Xenopus tropicalis: one gene and its partner. The protein of the gene in region 1 purifies or fractionates together with the protein of each later gene. This does not show direct contact. Links are inferred from orthologs where the notes say so. Each region holds a gene or a part of one and is shown on either strand. Other genes may lie near its edges.

Region 1 (10,369 bases):
AACCAAACAAAACTACATTTGTTGGTTCAAGAATAACATTTTAAATGGTAGAGTAAATTATTTGCTATGTAAACAGTGTAATTTAGAAATAAAAAGGACACCATAAAAATCGTGACAGAATCCCTTTAGAAAGAACCACTGTGTGTAAAAAAAACTGGTAATGCAGTCAAAGACATTCCATGAAATGGCTAGCGGCATCTCTTGCTAATCTAACAAAATCTACTAATTTGTGGATGTAGCTTCAAGCAAGCAAATGTGTCAAATAACTATTTTAAAATATTTAAAATAGAACTTAAGAAGAAATGTAGTCTTCAGTCCTCAGTTATTGCAACAAAAGACTGAGATTTTCTTTGAGCATATGTGAGTTAATAGCAATTCAGCCTAAACTTCTGCCTGCCAACAACCTATCTACTGCAGCTCTGCCCAAATAAATCCTAGGTGTTTGGCCAAGCCAAATCAGACCCATTTACAAAATGTGAATATAAAACACTGGACAAATAAAGGGAGATCATTTAAATATGGGTAGATATTGCTCCAGCTCACACATGCTCATTATGCAGGGAAACGTAACTGATCCTACATCACATGCATTGGCATAATGGGCCAGCTGGTGCACTCACTCATTATACACATGCATATAGCCCAATACAAAGCTCTACTCAGGTGTTGTGTTGAGGTCAGAACAAAAAATATGGCATGTGGGAAATAATTTTCATGTGCTCTTTAGTGTTCCTGTACTTTCTCCTCACCCCACATTTACAAAACATACCTGCAGGATAATACATAAGAGAGTTTTGGGCTTTGTACTCCCATGTGTCCAGACCAGCCTTCCCACACTCTATGGCTTGCATCTCAGCTGAAGGCAGAGCCAGGTTCTTTTGGAGTCTCTGAAAAGTAAGAAATAAGGCTCAGTGCCAGTCCTTAGAAGACAGCTCTTATGACAATACTTAACTTTTAATTTTACTCACATAAGCAGTTCTGTCATTCTGCATTTGCACAAGATTTTGCAAGATTAATTGAGTAACTGAGATAAGAAAGTTTAATAAGCCAAAGGAACAACCAGCCTTCAAATACGACAAAAAGAATGCTGGCAGAGAAAAAGAGGTCACCAGCTCCTGCCCCATGTCTGTAGTGACATCAATGGCTTGCTCCTTTCAATGTGCACAGGGGATATATTTCTGCATAGCCATCTCAGATATGCATATTTGGATGAAAATCCACCCATGTAAATAGTAACAGGCACATGCCAGTGATGTTTCTTACTAAGAACACAAATCAGACTTGGGTTATATCCATTTTCTGCATCAGTGTTTTGCTGTTGACAAAAAAAAACATAGGAATAGGCCTTCTCAGACCCAATCTGACATCCGCCTAAAAGGTTTTATAAAAAGACAAAAACACAATTCTGTACCCTAGGGCAGTGCTGTCCAACTGGCGGCCCCCCTCTGTGTGGCCCCCCACTTGTCTGGCTGCTTTGATGGCTTACCTTTCTGTAAGCTTTAAATGGTATCAGTACTGAGATTAACTGGCCCCCTGCATGGTTCTCACCTCAGATTCAGGCTGTAATCCCCTGTATTGTTTAAAAATGTAATCCCCTGTGTTTTTCACACCTACTGTAGGTACCTATGCAGGTACTGCCTGGACTATGCTACCTGTGTGTATGGCACACACAGGGAGCATAGGGCAGGCAGAGTATGGCACACACAGGCAGGGTAGGGCAGGGAGGGTATGGTACACACAGGCAGGGTAGGGCAGGCAGAGTATGGCACACACAGGCAGGACAGGGCAGGCAGAGTATGGCACACACAGGCAGGGTAGGGCAGGCAGAGTATGGTACACACAGACAGCATAGGACAGGCAGAGTGCTGCCTGTGTGTGCCTTACTCTGCTTTCCCTATGCTGCCTGTGGAAGGTGATCCTGGCAGGGGTTTGTTGTGGGAGTTTGTTAGCAGTTGGAAATAGTCATTATATGGTCCCTAAGGTGTGTAATTATGTACGGGGGGTTGCTGTGCTATCCACAGGGGAGGGGGAGGCATATGGAATTTAAGGGTATATCTTAATATGACATAATTCTTTCACATATGAATGATGGTTGAGATACCCACAGTAAGGACCAAGCATTTAAGATTTTGCTGTGCTACCACCATTGTGATAAAATAGGTGTGGTTGGAAGTGGGTGTGGTTTCAAAAAGGGGAGTGGTCAAAACTGGCTTCCATTAGCGGCCCTCCACCATGTATGCTAGAGAAATTCCGGCCCTCGGCACCATTGAAGTTGGACAGCACTGCCCTAGGGAATACATATACTGAAAAATAAATTCTATATCCTGCAACTGGGTGAGAAGGAATGTGGGGGTTATAGCAACCCTTTCAAGCAGTAAGTCCAAAACTGGATGTGAACAGTGATGAACACTCCTTTGGGTATAGACAAACAGGAAAAACTGAAATCTGTTAACACTTGTGTTAGTGTGTAAAGACATGCAGAAAAATCCACTGTACATCAGTGGGTACTCTTTAAATGACCATTCCCCATACCTCTTTATACTCTTCTTCTGCCTCATAAAGCCAAGCATGTTTGCTCTTCTCCTTCTCTTTAGCAACTTCCATTATCTGTTCAAAAGAAGCATTATCCTCACTTGTGTGTCTGGCCAAAAAGTTGTCCAAACCAGGAAGCTTGTCAACATTCTTTTCTGTTATTGCTCCATCTGCTGTAAAATATATTTTAATGTAAACAAGCAGTGTGAAAAAGTAGTGAATATTTTGCTTTCAATTTTGTCATATTAAAAAAAAAATAGATAATCACTTACCTTCCTCTCCTGTTCTTTGGACAGTGGCCATGGAGGGAGTGCCAGGAACTCCAGCAGGAGTTTCAAAGGTTGCTGGTGTTACATCTGCAAAAAACATAAAGAGTTGTACAAATCTCCCATATGTGCATTTGACACATTTACAACTAAATACAGGTATGGGATCCCTTATCCGGAAACCCATTATCCAGAAAGTTCCGAATTATGGAATGGCCATCTCCCATAGACTCCATTATAAGCAAATAATTCTAATTTTTAAAAATGATTTCCTTTTTCCCTGTAATAATAAAACAGTACCTTGTACTTGATCCCAACTAAGATATAATTAATCCTTATTGGAGGCAGAACAGTCCTATTGGGTTTATTAAATATTTAAATGATTTTTAGCAGACTTAAGTTATGGAGATCCAAATTACGGAAAGATCCCTTATCCGGAAAAGCCCAGGTCCCGAGCATTCTGGATAATAGGTCCCATACCTGTATTATGACTCAGCAAACAGCCTTAGGGCAAGTCTTATTTAATTCATTATCCTCAACACCAGATGGGGCAATTAGTCGCTGCGCACGAAAACCACGCTCGTGAATAGTGATGAGCGAATCTGTCAAAAGATTCACAAAACGGCGAAAATTCCATGTGCACCGGATTTTGTCGCCCATTTCGCAAAACAAGCCACCAATGGCGAAACTCGAAAATTCACAGCAAATCCATGCCTGCCAAATTATTTTGCCCATCACTTCTCGTGAAGAATAATCTCTGTGCACAGATATACAATTCACTGCATTTGCATGGTACCGTGCAGGACCAGTCCCCACGACTTTTCCAACAGGTGATTAGTTGCTGTGACTGGATTTTAAAAATCACGCCAACTAATCACCCCATCTGTCTTCGCCCTAACACAGCAGAGCGTACAATATAAGATCCCTAGTATGTATGCACATACACTAGGGTCAGTTTCAAGAACCAGTTAACCTGACAGTCTAAGGTAGGCCTAGAAAACAAAAAGTTATAAAAAGATGCTGCTTTTAATTTAATTTAAAAATAAAATCTATATTAATGTATATTGGAAAGGTAGGGTAGGCATAAAATTACACTTTCTTTAAATAATACATTTTGGGAAGTTTTTTATCTTTCATTCTGATTTCCAAACTTCTGCCTCATTGATAGGGTACAAAAACCCCAGCAACCAGTTATCACTCTAAATTCCAAGTTTTACAGCCGGAACACAAAATAATGTAAACAAAAAAAAAGCTATTTTATCTTTAAAATATGTCAGTGTATACTGTAAAAACCTGGGAATATTTTTAGCTAGAATTAAAATTGGTATTAATAAACATATTCCCAAGTTTTCAATGCGACTGCCACCCACTTCCATTGCTGTCTCCTACCTTAAACCTTTTTCTCACTGCTCCAGTCTTGGAAATTCTATACCTATTGCAGTCTTTAAAAAAACAAACTCATCTGACAATTAATATTTACATTTATATATGTAGTAATGTTTCGGAATTATTTAAGCCAGGCTGCTACTCCCTATCTCGCATGGGAATAATGTGTAAAGCTTGTCTCGAAACCCAAAGTAATCAATTAGCTAGTAGCAATTACTGTTTACTGATTGGCGGCTACAAATTGCTACATTTTAGACATTTTATTACATTAACCCATTAGATGTTGTTTCTAAGCAGGCAAGCCCATTATTTAAAACCCAAGCAGCATTTGCATTAATTAAGTAGCATGAATATAAAATATATAAGTAACAGGATCTTCCCCATGAGCTCATTAGTAATATAAACTTACAAGGCAGTGGAGTATCCTGAGCTGATTTGCCCAAGGTGGAGCCAAACTTAATGGAAATCTGTCTCATCTTCTCAAGGTCTCCACATTCCTCTGCTTCCAAATATTCCTTCTGAGCCCGCAACTTCTCAACATCTGGGAAGAAATCTCTCTGAATGATTTTCTGAAGATTCTGCATGAAGATAGAGAAAAACAAAAAGGTGGTTTTTACAAACCACATATACTGTTTGCTATGCCGTACAAAAGACAAGCTAGACAAAGACTTACTTATGTAATCACACTTTATATAATAAAAATCAAGATTTGTCTAACCACTGAAACTGAATCTCTAAAACGGAGCATATGATGTCCACACACTCCACATATTCCTCATTAAAAAAAAAACACAAAAGAAAAGTTGTATTTCATGTTATGAATTCCAAGTTTAGGGGGTTAATGTGGCATTTCATTTAGGCATTAATCTGCTGATAAGGGTACAAGCATTTTAGAAAATATAGGGTTTCTATTTAAATCCTATTTTTTTGGGAGTTTTTTTTAATACAATTGCTCTCAGTAGTGGGAACCCATCAAAAACTAGCAAGCAGGCTCTTGTTCCAATTACTCTTTTCATTTATACATCCATAACATGTTGCTTTAACTTTGAGTGGCATGCATTAAAAGGAGAACCAGTGGGCTATTATCAAACTATATAGGGGTTATGTAAGGTACTAAGTTTGCCCATGTGCAGTAAGCCATAGTAAACAATGAGCAGGTAGCATTTACTGATCACCTTTTAAAAGCAAACATCTTATTGGTTGCTATGGGTTACTGCAGATGGGTAAACATGTAGGGGTCAAGGGTAAGGGCCCACGGTGAAATTAGTCGCCCATGGTTAGATCTCGGCTACAGTGGGAGACTTATCTCCAAGAAATTCCTTTCCATCGGCAATAAAGTGAATGGCCGGTGGGAAAGTTGCATTAAATTTTCACCTGCAGAAGGAACTTTGTGCCTGATGATACCACTGACATTTGCTTATAGCTGAGCTCCACTGTCTTCTATGATAATATATATTTAACAGTTAATATTAAAAAAAAACCTGTGATTATTGGTTGAAGTAGTTGCTCTATTGTCAAAGGGGCATTTGCCCGTCTCATGTAATTTAGTTTAGGTAACTTGCCATGCGTGTGAATATTATAGGGCCAGTGCTCAGTTTTTCGGCACAGTACTGCAAAGACTCTACGACATCGCACTGATCTGACAGCTGTCCCCAAAAACACACTCAAGAGCACATTCCTTCTCATGTCACCGTATCCCCCGTGACTTACCTGTATATACGTCTCTTCACACAGCACCTTCTTCTTTGGCCTGCTGCTCTCTGCTGCCTCAGGGACTTCTCTTTGTATGTCTAAAGCTCCTGCTCCAGGCTTGTGTTTCACTAATGCCCCAGTGTTTTCACTCTCCGCTCCAGGGGCTGCCATCCCGCGGTACTGACACAGAGACACCAGCACACAAACGCTCACATATATAAAGCCACAAGGATTCTTGCTGTGTATAGACGTCTAAAAAACAAATCGCAATCCCACCGCAATATAACTACATTCAGCAGACCCTCTCCGACACCATACAACCACAACGCATTCCGGAAGATGAAGCGCAATAGCGTATTGCATTCTGGGAAACGTAGTTGTAACGTGAGTAAATTGCCGGAAGTTGTAGTGTGGGATGCGGGGAACCTTCCAGCAATGAATTCATACAGGAGTCAATACAATAATAACAAAAGGGATAAATACCAAATATAATTATATTCAAGTTTAAATGCTGAGTAGGAAAGAGACCAGGGAAAGGAATTCCATTCCTTATAAAATTTACATTTTTTTTCCTCGGGTTTTCAGACTATTCACTTATTTTATAGGTACAGTTTGATTTTGCTTGTTTGCTTACAATTCATATTTGTATTACATACTGACACGGTATTTTATATCCTGTAGTTAATGTTATGTCACTTTATGTGATTTACAAAAGTATGGAACTATACCTCCCAACATTTTGAAAATGGAAAGAGGGACAAAAAGAAATGCCACACATAGCAAGGTGAATTTCATTTTTTGGGGTCTTGTTTTATGTGTTATTACAGTTTTGTTTAAAAAATGCTGAAATTGCCCTTTAAGCTGCAAGTCAGTTCCCCACAAGAGACCTGTTTAGCTTATAAGTTACAATTGTATTTCAGTGCAGGTGAAGCTTGTTAACTTTTTGGGCTCTCTGCCAAAAGCTACTTTTTAATTAAGTTTGAGAAACATTTGTATCTTTTTTGGTCTTCAGTGCAATGAAAAGGGCAATGAGGGACTTTTCAGTAAGAATCCAGGACTGCAGGCTGAGCTGTCAAAACAGGGCCGGAACTAGGGGTAGACAGACAGGCACCTGCCTAGGGCACAACGATTGGGGGGCGCCAGGCAGGAACCTCTCTTGCCTACCCCGTAGTCCACGCTACCTTGTCATTGCCCCCGCCGCTTGTCATTACGCGGTGGGGGCAATGACCTCCCCCTGTGCTTGATGGAACTGCACATGCGCGCCAAAGCACACACGAGGGCGGGGAAAGTGCAGGGAAGAGGTGACCGACCGCATTGCCTAGGATGGCCGGTCAGCTTGGCCCGCCTCTGGTTGGGAGCTGTTTGAGGTGCCTTGAGAATGTTTATGATCATTATGATTTAATTAGCATGCATACAAGGACATGCCTTTCAGAGGGGCTGCTGTAAGATGCCATAGACAGTAACTATTTAGTGGGCTGGTGGAGGGCTTTTTGGGTCTCTGTGTACTTGAAATGCCAGGGCCTGTTTGGAATCCCTGGGCCTGGTTTGCAACCCTGCTAAATGCATATACACTACTAATGTTTTGTAAAACATTGTAATGATCTTTGTCTAATAAAGACATGATCTTTGTCTAATAAATTACATATTTGTAATCTTACAATAGGCATTTTACAATAGGCATTTCACAACCTTACTGCATTCAGGCTTGCTGCATCAAGCTCCAGAAGGGGGAGCCGTTCACCTTAGGATATTCTCTTTGCAAATAGAGGAGAACACCAGAATGTAGATGTTCTGCTCGGTGAATTTGTTGCACACTTGTACAGCAAAATATATTTCACATGTTGTGTTGTTTAAGTCTGCAATAAATTGTACTGTATATCTGCCTTGTGGTGATCTCCTTGTCACTTGCAAAAAGTATATTTTGAATCTTCTCTATTCACATGTTGTATTGATTGATTACAAGGATACTGGCACTTTTTTCTCAGCACAACAAGCAATAAAAAGCATCACTACTTTGTAAGGTTAATGGCACATTGGTAGCTGATCCACTACCTTCCATCCCATTTCTCTGTGTGCACTGCTAAATATGCTCTCAGTGTGTTAAGTGGTAAATCCAGTGCATACAGATAGAGGGGATGGAAGGCAGCAGATAGGCTTTTCTCCTGGCCTATCTCTGACCTGTTTGTTATTAGCACAATGGCTGAGAGGTTTAAACCCCATAACTTATTTTTTGCCAATACACACAATATTTTGGGCCCCACCTCCAGAGTTAAAAGGGTGGAAGTCACTAAAAAGGTAATTAAAAGTGGTAATAGAATAGAGGCAATCCTATAATGCATTGTGAAGATAAGAGATAAGGGTGTACTCCAAGCATGTTACAGAGTCACTAAAAGACAATTCCATTCCCTAAACCTAACCTAAATAACTACATTTATAGTAAAGGTGTAACCTTTAAAACTATCATTAAAATTTTAGTAGTATTTAATGTGGCCCCTTACCAGATAGACAGCTTTGGGCTTCCTCTCTGTAGAAGGTGGTTGCTGGACCCCAAATTCATTCCATTAAAGGGGTAGTTCACCTTTATGTTCATTTTTTGTGTGTATTAAAATGAAATATTCTCAGCAACGTTTTAGTTGGTCTTCATTTTTTTTTTTTTTTTTAGTTTTTTAATTATTTGCCTTCCTCTTCTGACTCTTTACAGCTTTCAAGTGAGGGATCACTGACCCCAGAAGCAAAAAACTATTGTTCCGTAAGGGTACAATTTTATTGTTATTGTGTTATATTTAGGGATGCACTGAATCCAGTATTTAAGGATCTGGCTGAACCCTGAATCCTTTGCAAAAGAATTGGCCAAATACCGAACAAATCCTGATTTGCATATGTAAATTAGGAAAAGGAAGGGATAAGACAAATATGTGTGTGGCAAAACATTTTCAGTTTTTGTGTTTATGTGACAAAAAGTCATGTGATTTTAAGGATTCCAATTCGGTTCAGCCAAAAGCATGGATTCGGCTGAATCCTTCTAAAAGGCCAAGCTTGGCCAAATCCCGAAGTGAATCCTGTATTTGGTGAATTGCTGGTTATAGTCTGTTACTTTTTCTGTTCAGGCATTTCCTATTCATATTCCAATCTCCTACTCACAACAATACTTGGTTGTTAGGATAATTTGGACCCGAGCAATCAGATAGCTGCTGAAATTCCAAACTGAAGAGCTGCTGAACAAAAAGTTTAATAGTCCAAGAACCACACATAATCAAAAATGAACACCAATTGTAAATTGTCTAAGAATATCATTCTCTACATCATTCTAAAATTTTATTAATGGAATACTGTCAAGGAAAAACGTGTCTTTTTTTTAATACACATCCATTAATAGAGCTTCTCTAGCAGAATACTGCATTGAATCCATTTCCAAACAGTTTTTTTTATTTCATTTTAAAATGTCACATGGGGCTAGCCATGTTTTTCACTTACCAGGATACCACGGCCATGTGACCTGTACTGATAAACTTCAGTGACACTTTATTGGTGCACTGCAAGTTGGATTGATCACCCCCCTCCCCTCCCCCCCAGCAACCGATCAGTGGAACAATGGGATGGTAGCAAGATAGGGGCTACCTGGAACCTGATATTAGAACAGCACTCAATAGTAAAAAATCCAAGTCTTGCTTGGGACTCCTCCAGTTACATAGGAGTAGGTGAAACAATGGGTTATCTGAAAGCAGTTCTAATGTGTAGCTCTGGCTCCTTCTGAAAGCTCAGAATCAGGCGCAATGCACTGAAGTGGCTGCCTTCATACTAATATTACAACAAAATTTTAAATGGTAGAATGAATTATTTGCTATGTGTAATTTATAGATAAAAAGTATACCATAAAAATCATGAAAATTCCTTTAAGGTGACAACCCCTTTAATACAGAGAGTGCTACAGGGTACGAAACTTAATCGAGGACAGCTGTGGGTTTAAGTGCTACTGCGCATGCCCAGTCCTTATGTCACCTATTTGCATAGCATTTATCCTATTGGCAGCCAGTCAGATTAATGCTATGCAAGTGAATGAGGATGGCTGGGGCAAGCTGCAGTGGTCCACACTGAATGTTTGTTCCCACTGACGATCTTTGCAACAGAACTCAATCTTGAAATTGGGTATGCGCAAACTTTAATGCCGTATGTAAGGCAAAGAATTCATATGTGCTAAAAGATTATATTTGGAAAAGTGCTCCTTTTACAAAGTCCTATCACTTTGGTTGTACTTTGCAAAGGGTTAATATCTCATTTAATCAAAACGGTCTATAGATAAAATAAGGATTTTATTCTCCTGCAAGCCACTCCTTTTAAAGGGATTATTTACTAAGCAGGGGCATTTCATTGTGGATGTGTGTGATGTTGTATGATTTGCTAACAGTTCTCAGGTACATTTTTTGCTGCTTGAAGGATGATCACAGAAGCTGCCCCTCTCTTTTGTCTTCTCCACTTAGCTCTTCGGTTCTTAA
Region 2 (10,269 bases), on another chromosome or scaffold:
TTACCCCAAGAGCGCAGAGACAACTCATCCGAGAGGCCCCAAAAGACCCCAGGACAACATCTAAAGAACTGCAGGCCTCACTTGCCTCAATTAAGGTCAGTGTTCACGACTCCACCATAAGAAAGAGACTGGGCAAAAATGGCCTGCATGGCAGATTTCCAAGGCGCAAAACACTTTTAAGCAAAAAGAACATTATGGCTCGTCTCAATTTTGCTAAAAAACATCTCAATGATTGCCAAGACTTTTGGGAAAATATCTTGTGGACCGACGAGACAAAAGTTGAACTTTTTGGAAGGTGCGTGTCCCGTTACATCTGGCGTAAAAGTAACACAGCATTTCAGAAAAAGAACATCATACCAACAGTAAAATATGGTGGCGGTAGTGTGATGGTCTGGGGTTGTTTTGCTGCTTCAGGACCTGGAAGGCTTGCTGTGATAGATGGAACCATGAATTCTACTGTCTACCAAAAAATCCTGAAGGAGAATGTCCGGCCATCTGTTCGTCAACTCAAGCTGAAGCGATCTTGGGTGCTGCAGCAGGACAATGACCCAAAACAAACCAGCAAATCCACCTCTGAATGGCTGAAGAAAAACAAAATGAAGACTTTGGAGTGGCCTAGTCAAAGTCCTGACCTGAATCCTATTGAGATGTTGTGGCATGACCTTAAAAAGGCGGTTCATGCTAGAGAACCCTCAAATAAAGCTGGATTACAACAATTCTGCAAAGATGAGTGGGCCAAAATTCCTCCAGAGCGCTGTAAAAGACTCGTTGCAAGTTATCGCAAACGCTTGATTGCAGTTATTGCTACTAAGGGTGGCCCAACCAGTTATTAGGTTCAGGGGGCAATTACTTTTTCACATAGGGCCATGTAGGTTTGGATTTTTTTTCTCCCTAAATAATAAAAACTCTCATTTAAAAACTGCATTTTGTGTTTACTTGTGTTATCTTTGACTAATAGTTAAATGTGTTTGATGATCAGAAACATTTTGTGTGACAAACATGCAAAAGAATAAGAAATCAGGAAGGGGGCAAATAGTTTTTCACACCACTGTATATGATGCCACCAAATAAAGCCAGACAAAAGAAGAAAAATAAATCTAATACCTGCGGGTCTTAAAAACTCATTGTTGTTTTCCAAGTCCATTGATTAAGCAGAGGAGCAGGTTATTGTTTTGTGCAGAAAATATTTGTTTCCTTTAACCTTTACTTTTGCAGTTTGCCAGACACCAGAAATTTGTCAATGATTATATTTTGTACTATGGTGGAAAACTGCAAGATTTCCAGCATTCAAAGTAAGTACTTTATACTGAAGAATATCCTAAACATTGAATTATACACATAAAACACATACACATATCCTAAACTTGTAATTAGACATAAACTAAGATAAGTGATATTCACATCACCAAAAGGCTTTGTATGCAAGTTAATAAAATCAAACATTCTTACAGGTATACACTCCTTTTCAACTTCAGCTCAGTGAACAGGACTTGTGTTGAACATACATCTTGTCTGTTTTTAATTAAGCATTATCTGGTTATTATATGGTTTTTGTTTTCTTACACTATACAAGAAAATGAAACCACTTTCACTTTCTAACTCCATATTTTACTTTCTTTCATGCTTAGTCACTGCTTAAGTAGTAAAACATATTAGTATAACAGGCTTCAGTTTAGGGTTTGTTTATGCAGAGCTCACTTTCTAGTGACATTTCCCTTGTTTATGTGGGAAAAGTGAGGTATTGAGTTTAATGAAAAATGACAGTTTTCCAGTAATTCTTTATAATGTCAAAAAAATCAGAATATTAATTAAATAATAGGCAGAATACATTTTCAACACATTGTGCTAATTATTATTAGGTGCATATAGGTGTATATTATAGTTTTTTAAATAACTGGAATTTTTTCCCACGTTATGGTTTTTTTAACTCTGCAAATAGACTAATAATAATAGTTATATTCGTCAAACCGAAAGACAATTATAATTGGTGTGTGTGGCGTTAAAGGGATTATAAAGGTATAATCATTGGGTGGTGCCAAAATGTTAGGCACCCCCCAGTGATTGCAATCACTTACCTGATACCCCTGAGTGGTGCCCCAGTCAGCAGAAAACTGCACCGGCTCAGGGTACCTGCATGCCCATGTATGCGCAGTACAGTGAAAAAACGGCTTTTTTGTTAAAGTTTGGCTTTTCACTTTACTGCGCAAGCGGTGCAAAGACAGAAGAAGAAAGAGGATCACTCACTCTCAGGTAGCCCAGGCTGGTGCAGGTTTAGGCTAACAGGAGCACCGGCCTGGGGTATCGGATAAATGATGATTACAATCACTGGGGGGGTGCCTAACAATTTTTTTTAATGCATAATGGCAGTAAAATATGTTTATATCAATATATCACCAGTACCCACACAATATCCAAACGTAAGAAGACTCAAGGACTTAACCCTTATGCATAGGTCATAACTGTACAAATTCTGTACAAAATACTGTTTTGTTATGTTTACTGCTGTTTTTATTTGCAGAGAAAATAATAAAACTGATTTGGATGTCATTAGAGAGAACCACAGATTCCTGTGGCAGGATGAAGACGAGGAAGACATGACTTGGTATATGCAACTACACGCTAGTTATTCATTAAAATTTGATTTTCTAATGCTGAGATCCCAGGTTTGTTTAAAATGTATTATCTAATTCATCAGGAAATAGACTGATGTAGTTTGAACCTAGTGATTGCGTGTTGATGTTTTTGCCAGGATGTTTTGAGTTTAATCCACCATTTGTCATGATAATGTATGTAGGGTGCAAACTTTTAATCGGAACATAAAACACCACTCCTTCATGCTAAGTGGAACAGCACAAGGCATATTATGCAAGAAACGTCTATTCACACCTTCCTTAAATGTGTAGTCACCCTAAAATAAACTTCTTTATGGTGTAGATCAGGGGGTCCCAACCTTTTTTTTATCTGTGAGCCACATTCAAATGTCAAAATAAGTTGGAGAGCAACACAAGCGTGCAAAAGGTTCCTGGGGGTGCCAAATATAGGCTGTGATTGGCTATTGGTAGCCCCTGTGTATGAATAGGAAAGAGTCTGAGAGGACAGAGAGCTGTAGATACGAAAATAGATTTTTGATTGCAGTGGTCAGTGAAAAAAAATATTCAGCTACATTTTGGTTTTCCATAAACTCATCATTAGTTGAAGTATGTCTTACCCTTTAAAGCTGGCTCATACCCTTATTATTGTAAACAAATTGCAAAGAACTGTCCCAAACTACAATGGTTTGTTTTGCACACTGCTCTGTAAATGGAGCTTAAAGACCTGTGTGTTCCTTTATGAATACAGCTTTGTCTGCATATGGTAGCGCTGAATGAGGAGAGGGCAGGGGTAGGCACCCATTAGGGTGAAGACACACTGAGTTACTAGTAGCAGCTACTTTTACGCGGCTACCAAACTTCAGAAAATACCCTGCCATAGACAGTACTGAGAATTGCCTTTGCTAAAACACACAGACAATTATCAGTAAATGATCAGCATTGTCTATTTTAGTAGCCACAACAAGTAGCTGCTACTAGTAGCTCTGTGCTAAATAAGCTAATAATGCACCATTTATATTAAAGCTGTGATACAAATATTCTGTCTCATTTTTTTGTGCATTTAAATAAAAAAAAGAGAAATCAGCTTTTTTACTGCATTTAGCTTATTCAACATACAGGAATCCTTCAAATAACTTACCTAAAATTAGAAATATGTATACTTAATCAAAAATTTATAACTACTCTAAATTTAAATGTCTCCCATATCGAGTCCCCAAGTATGGGCCCCACTCCAGACTTATTTGTTTTAATTTTTCTCTTTGACAGGGACAAGAAACTTGCAAAGAAATACTATGATAAATTATTCAAAGAATATTGCATAGCAGATCTTAGCAGATACAAGGAAAACAAGGTTTGTGACCCTAAAATAATGCCAATGTCTAACAAACATCTACAGTGTTCCCTGGTCAGCTCGCTCACCCAATGACTCTTGCTCACAGAGGGAAAACGACAGGGTGCTGTGTCATAGGTTTACCCCGACTTTTTCCAAGTCTATTTTATTAGACTTGGTTTAAAAAAAAAAAGCCTTAGAATAAACAAAGACCTACATAAATGTAGTGTCAATCGGGTGGGTTAAAAGATTTTGATCGGGTGCCGTTGAAGGTGCCCAAGTGAAATCTGAATTTAGGGCTGAATCGGCCGGGGGAGGTAGAATCCCTATTGTTTCTTCCTCCATGTCTGACGATTCATCCCTGAACCTCAATGGGGGAAACGAACAATCTTTTAATCTTTATTAATTGGGGGATGCCTAACATATAAGGACCATGCCAGTGAATATGCGTTTGTTGTCCTATAAAGAAAAAAGCAAGTTAGTAAAAAATGAAGAATTGTTGCCATTGCTGTTTTTAGAAGCTACCACAATAATGGGTTTCTGGATAAAGATTTTAGGTGGCTATGGTATAACATTTTTTAGGTGGCCAGGGTACAAAATGCTTTATGAAATCCTGTTTTATATATTAACTTTTATGATAAAAGGTGTTACTTCTTATGTTCTTAATTTTGTTCCTTTGTGCATTCATATATTAATATATGTATGACTTTTGCTTTGTTTCAACAGTTTGGGTTTCGATGGCGAGTGGAAAAAGAAGTTATCTCTGGAAAAGGTAGCATTTGATTGAAAGTCTGTGAATGTGTTGACATATATATTTTTTAATTGTCATGGAATAATAAATATATGGTGAGAGAGAGTTGCACCTAATTCAGAAAGTCTTCTCTGCCTTTAAGGCTACTGCCAAACCAGACTGATTCTCAGCTTTTGGATAAAGGAAGGACAATAATCAGTCCCTACATTAATTTATACTCTGGGTGCAGTCACACGGGTAGACTAAGGCAAGCATAGGGGCTGATTTGCGCCCTGTGTTTATTCGCAGGCTGAGAATCTGCATCAGCTGGTGTGGCAGTAGCCTAAAGGTGAGAAAGGTAAGGATGAACATAACAATATGGTAGGGCATTTTTTGCCCAGGTCTACCTTATTGCCTGACCATCACTTGTAGAGGATAAAAAGCTCAAAGAAGACCTGTCACCCAGACAATAAAAATAATTTTTCAAATTAAACATGAAACTCAAATTCCTTTTTTTATTTACACATCCATGCCCATTATAAAGGCATTTAAAAATCCCAGCTGTCAGGCAGGGCAGACTATAACTTTAACTTTCCATTCAGCTCTCACTTTCCCCTTCCCTCCTTACCATCTAATTGTGTAGCCAGTGCATGGGCATTAGGTCCCTCTTCTGGCATATAAACAAGATTTTGGTATGATGCAAAGCTTGTCTTAATAACAGAGTCTCCAAAATGGTGCCTGCCTGCTTGCTATGATTGTGTAATTCCAAGACTGAAGGAAACAAGATTTATATTATTTATAAAGTGTATGTCAAGTTAATTTTGCTCAACTAATCTGAGAAACACATTTGGAATTATTTCTTAGGGTGACAGGTTCCCTTTAACTAAAGAAGTAGGGTAGAAATGTTGTATCAGCCCAAGGTAGCCACAGCCCTTTAGCAGGGAGGATTTGTGCCTCTAAAGATGCCTCCAGTAGTTCCCATGTTCTTTTCTGCTTATTCACTGCACATTCTCTGGACCGCTGTCAGCTTAGGGACCAAAACGCAATATACAGAATACAAATGTCACAATATAAGACTGATTAGTAATTTGTACAGATAATTAGTACATAGGAGGTTAGCTTATATTACAGGCCAACCTCATATTTTGACAAAACCCAGCTTAGCTTCTCAACAGCTGCCCAGAGCACACTGAGAATGTGACTGTCACTGACAAAAATCGAGGATGATGACCCCTGTGACAACTTTGAAGGCCTGGGTCATTGCTGGTGCAGTAATTCAGTATATAACATATGTCATTTCTAGCCATATTCATTTTTAGGGTTTAGTTTTTAGGGTTTAGCAGTTATCAGATTGACATGGACTTGAAAGAAAAGACAATCTGTTGTTTACTCCTATCAGTGCATGGTGAGTGGATTTGCTAAAAATACCACATTTAGGACATTTAAATAATGTCTGCCAGAGATGCTGGTTTGTGTAATTATCAGATTTGGTCTTTTAAACTAAGCTATGAAGTGACAGTGATTTCAGTTAGGATCAAATACGAGGTACTGTTTTATTATATTTACAGAGAAAAAGAAGATCTACCTAGAAATCTGAATTATTTGATTAAAAACAGCCTAGGGTAGGGAGACGGTCCTTGTGAGTCAGTGGCAGACTATCGTGGCTTCTTCTCATTCTATGGAACCATGTGAGCCTGTGTAAATAAAAAATGTATATATTTATTTATTTTGTCACTTTTAGTAAGGGCACATAAATAAGCATTTATGGTTTAGATATCCTAAAACCCAGATATTTAATTTCAGAATTTTGACAGCTCAACATTCAGTTTCACAAAAGACGTGCATTGCAAAGTATTTTTTCTAGCACAGTAAAAAAATAAAAATGATGATCTAATACCACTTTTCTTCTGATTAACATATAATGTAAAACATTAGTGAAACTGCATGCTGATAATCAAAAACGCATTAGAACTGCATTTTTAATTATGTGAGTCGCTGCATAAGAAACTGGAAAGCATTTTTTGCCTCATACACATCGACTAAGTTGATAATGCTGATTAATTTTAAATGGGATGTTTTTCTCATAGTCTGTTTGCAAAGAAAAAATACATGATGTGTTGCTAAGCATTATTTTAATGCAGAAATTATAATGCAGAAATGGAGTAAATACCTATCTTAAGTAATAAGCGACACAACAGCAATTTATTTGATGCGCCCAAGACACTTTCCCTCACTCTGCAATCCACGAAAAATTTTGTCCTTAGCAAAATGCAGAATTTCGCAGCAAAACTATTCCTGCCAAAAAATTTAGCTCATCACTACCTATCTTCCAACCATATTATGGTATGACAGCATGTCAGATTGCTGTTGTTATATATCAGCATCATAATTACAAGAGCAGTCATCGTTCTTTCTTCTCTTCACGCCCTTCTGTTCCATTCACTTAGTAATGTCTCACCAGCCTGTGACGAAGTGCACGAAATGTGTAAGGCAAAAAAAACAGAACTAGGGATAGTCAGAACAGGCACCTGCCAATGGCACAATGGCAGGGGGCACTAGGCAGGTACCTCTTCTGCCTATCCCTAGTCTGGGCTTTCTTGCCCCGCCACTTGTCAATGTGCACGCGCCTCTGTAAGGTGATCATAACTCTTGTGTTTACTTAAAATAAGGTTTTCTATTCTTTTACTTTGCCTGTTCGTGGGATGTGTTGAGCGCCTGCTACACATCCATGGTATAATCCTCCTCCTCTAACTGTAGGTCTAGGCCATGCACACCTGGACCCCACGTGGTATTTGGTGAGCTTATTTGTGGCTCTACACAAAACATTTTATTTTTACTTGTGGCATAATATCCCGCCAGTTCCCCGCTGAGTTTAGCATAGAATTGCAGCCTGCTGTCCTTCATTATTTCTGCGTTGATAGGATGTCCCTTACACCAGGGCTTTAAAAGCTTTTTTCTCATCACTAATTTCATTTTACCCAGTTTGACATCTTTACATTGCACTAACCAATTTTGGTTTTAATCAATATTGTGGCATAATTTAATTACATTGTGGTATTTTAATTGTGGTACAGTTTTCACTTTATTTTGGCAGATCATAGAGATAAAACTTAAATAGGATGGGTCCCTATTTTTGGGTCCCAACCTGGGCCATATTTATTATATAGGTAACCAGAATGGTGACACATTATCGCTAACCTTCTCTCCCACAGCTCCCTCATGTCGTGGGTGCAGGCAGGTTAAGGGTCCCCATGTCCCCCATGCTTCCTTATTTCCCCACAGTGGATTCATTTTAAATCAATAGATCAATTCCTCTGGCAACTGTGGTGCCCAATCATTTTGGGTTATTTTACGCCAGGCAATTTCCCTTTGTCTCTGAAACCAAAATTAGGCTGCAGACTTTAAAGGCCAATGAATGTTGTATGCAGCACTGCATATAATAATAATAAGTGCTCTGAATGAATAAAGTTAGTTCTATGCAAAAATGACAGCAGAAGGTTGAACAAAGGTTAATCTTTTAAGCTGAAACTTAAGGGGGGTGAAGATGTATTTGGAGGTATAGCTCACCTCTAGGAGTAAATAGCTTACTAAGACAAACAATGGGAAAACACAGTCAGCAAGCTCTGAGTAGCAACTTCAGCAAGATAAAAAATCTGCTGTTGTAGTGGAATATCTAAATTTGGGCAGATTTTCTATCCCGGATGCAAGTTGCATATTTGTAGCACAGACAACACTAGGGGACTAATTTATCAACAATCAAATTCAACTTTTTAACACAATTCTGAAGTTTTTGGCAGAAAAAAAAAATCTAATTTTTCAGCTTGAAAACTCAAATGTAAAGAATTCAGTATGTAAATGGTGGCAAGTTCATGTGGGAGTCCTATTGGCAAAATTCAAGATATTTTTCAACTCAAGTTTTGGAAGTCAATTTGCAACTTGATTTATTAAAAAGTATGGGTGGAATGTGACTTCTCTGTGAAAATATCATTTTTAATAAATCTGCTTCTAAGACAAGAAATTTCTCTGATCTGCATGAATTTTCCTTGTGCCCCATAGCTGACCACTGTTCTCCTGAAAGCCCTCACTAGAGGGAGCTACATGCAAACATAACCTCATTCAGCATTTAAGAAAATATATAGTGCCCTGTGCAGATATCTTTTTTCTTTATTAGATTTTTAGATAGATCTGAATGATTTCACAAAGGAAGTTGGGGAGGGCCCATATACAGGCAGATAAGCTGCTGACTGGAGGGGCTGAGTCTGCAGCTTGAGTCAGCCCGTGTATGGCCAGCTTTGCTTACTACTCCTGCTACTTCTTACAATGGCCTGACATATAAGAGCTCATTTAACTCTGCAAATACATTGAGCAAAGTGCAATTTTAAATGCAATAGGCATTTTTTTTTGCCACAATGCAGCATATTTTCATTGCAACTACCACAGTTGCATCCAATTCACCAAGCGCAGAAATGATGCCAACGTTTTGCGCAGTTGTGTCTTATTTGTGTTGGAATGCACAGAAGTCCATGTGGCTTCATTGCCATGTTAATGATGTTTGTGCCTAATTTTTTCAGCACAAGAGTTCTACACCTATTGACGCCGGGTGTGAAGGGAACCCTCCAGCTACTGCCTGGTCAGTAGTTGGAGGTAGCTGAAGGCAGGAAGGGCTGAGCAGTGCCGAATGCAAATAAATGGAAGTGCAAGGAGTGCATTTTAACACAAGTACCTTTAATTAAAGTGGGGTTTTTTGTGCAACTGACTGCAGGGAAATTGTAGGTGCTGCAACTGCAGTCTCAGACATAAATGAGCTTCATAGGTTAGCTAGTCTTTGCTCTACATTTTAGTATAGTTAGGGGATCGGTTATCTGGATTATTTTAGCCCTGGAGCACCATAGCGGATAGGGGTAGGCTAGAAGAGGGCTTGTTGAGCTTCGGGCTAAGAGTCTGCCAGTAAAAGGCCTGGTGGAATAGCAAAGGGGCACCGCAGGGAGTGCCGGATTGCTGAGCCAGGTGGGGACAGGAGATCCCATAGAGACTGGGGACAGAGGTGAATAGCCAGAGTTAGCTACCCCTGGTAAGGCTGATGTCTTCTGGACACGGACATGGTATATGTTTATTGCATGATTGAAGAAAGCCTGTTTGAACAATGTGATTTGACCTGTATGCTGTGACTCCCAACAAGATGAGGGAATAAAGTGATTTTTGTTGCATGACTTCTTGGAGTGCTTCCCTTTGATTTTGGTGTGGCCTATCGAGTACAGGTAAGGGCGCTGTCCCTTTAAGAAGTTATCTCCCGGTTCTCCCTACATGCTTAATGTTAAACACCTATAGGACTGTTTTGCAATAAACATGAATTTATGCAACTTAGTTGTCATCAAGTACAAGCTACTGCCTTATTTAAGACTTACCATTATCAGTGCTGCATTTCAGAGCTCTCTGTGTCGCAGGTTTCCGGATTACAGCTGCCATATCTGTACCTGGCAAGTAGGACAGTCATTAAACAGAGAAATTATCATTTTAAAGGAGAAGGAAAGGCGAATAAAGAGTTAATCTCAAGCTGCAGGCATACCGTCAGTTCATTCAATAGTGCCCTTAAGTCTCCCCATATTTCACTGTTCAGA

What was found. Proteins that work in one complex are often made in the same cells at the same time.
Region 2: the proteins of ess2 (region 1) and fra10ac1 purify together in Homo sapiens (co-immunoprecipitation; 3 studies listed by BioGRID and IntAct, counting the BioPlex papers as one, with this or other methods). This does not show direct contact. The link is inferred for Xenopus tropicalis from reciprocal best matches to the Homo sapiens genes ESS2 and FRA10AC1.

What each region holds. Positions count from the first base shown.
Region 1 is NC_030677.2:153,455,882-153,466,250, forward strand, and holds the start of ess2 (splicing factor ESS-2 homolog), read right to left. Parts: upstream 6,242-10,369; 5' UTR 6,048-6,241; coding exon 5,895-6,047; intron 4,763-5,894; coding exon 4,594-4,762; intron 2,889-4,593; coding exon 2,805-2,888; intron 2,706-2,804; coding exon 2,533-2,705; intron 888-2,532; coding exon 770-887; intron 1-769. Other genes in the region: gsc2 (homeobox protein goosecoid-2), read right to left, coding at 10,275-10,369. UniProt on the Homo sapiens protein: May be involved in pre-mRNA splicing.
Region 2 is NC_030683.2:36,063,728-36,073,996, reverse strand, and holds part of fra10ac1 (protein FRA10AC1), read left to right. Parts: intron 1-1,215; coding exon 1,216-1,292; intron 1,293-2,518; coding exon 2,519-2,602; intron 2,603-3,857; coding exon 3,858-3,942; intron 3,943-4,647; coding exon 4,648-4,693; intron 4,694-10,269. UniProt on the Homo sapiens protein: May be involved in pre-mRNA splicing.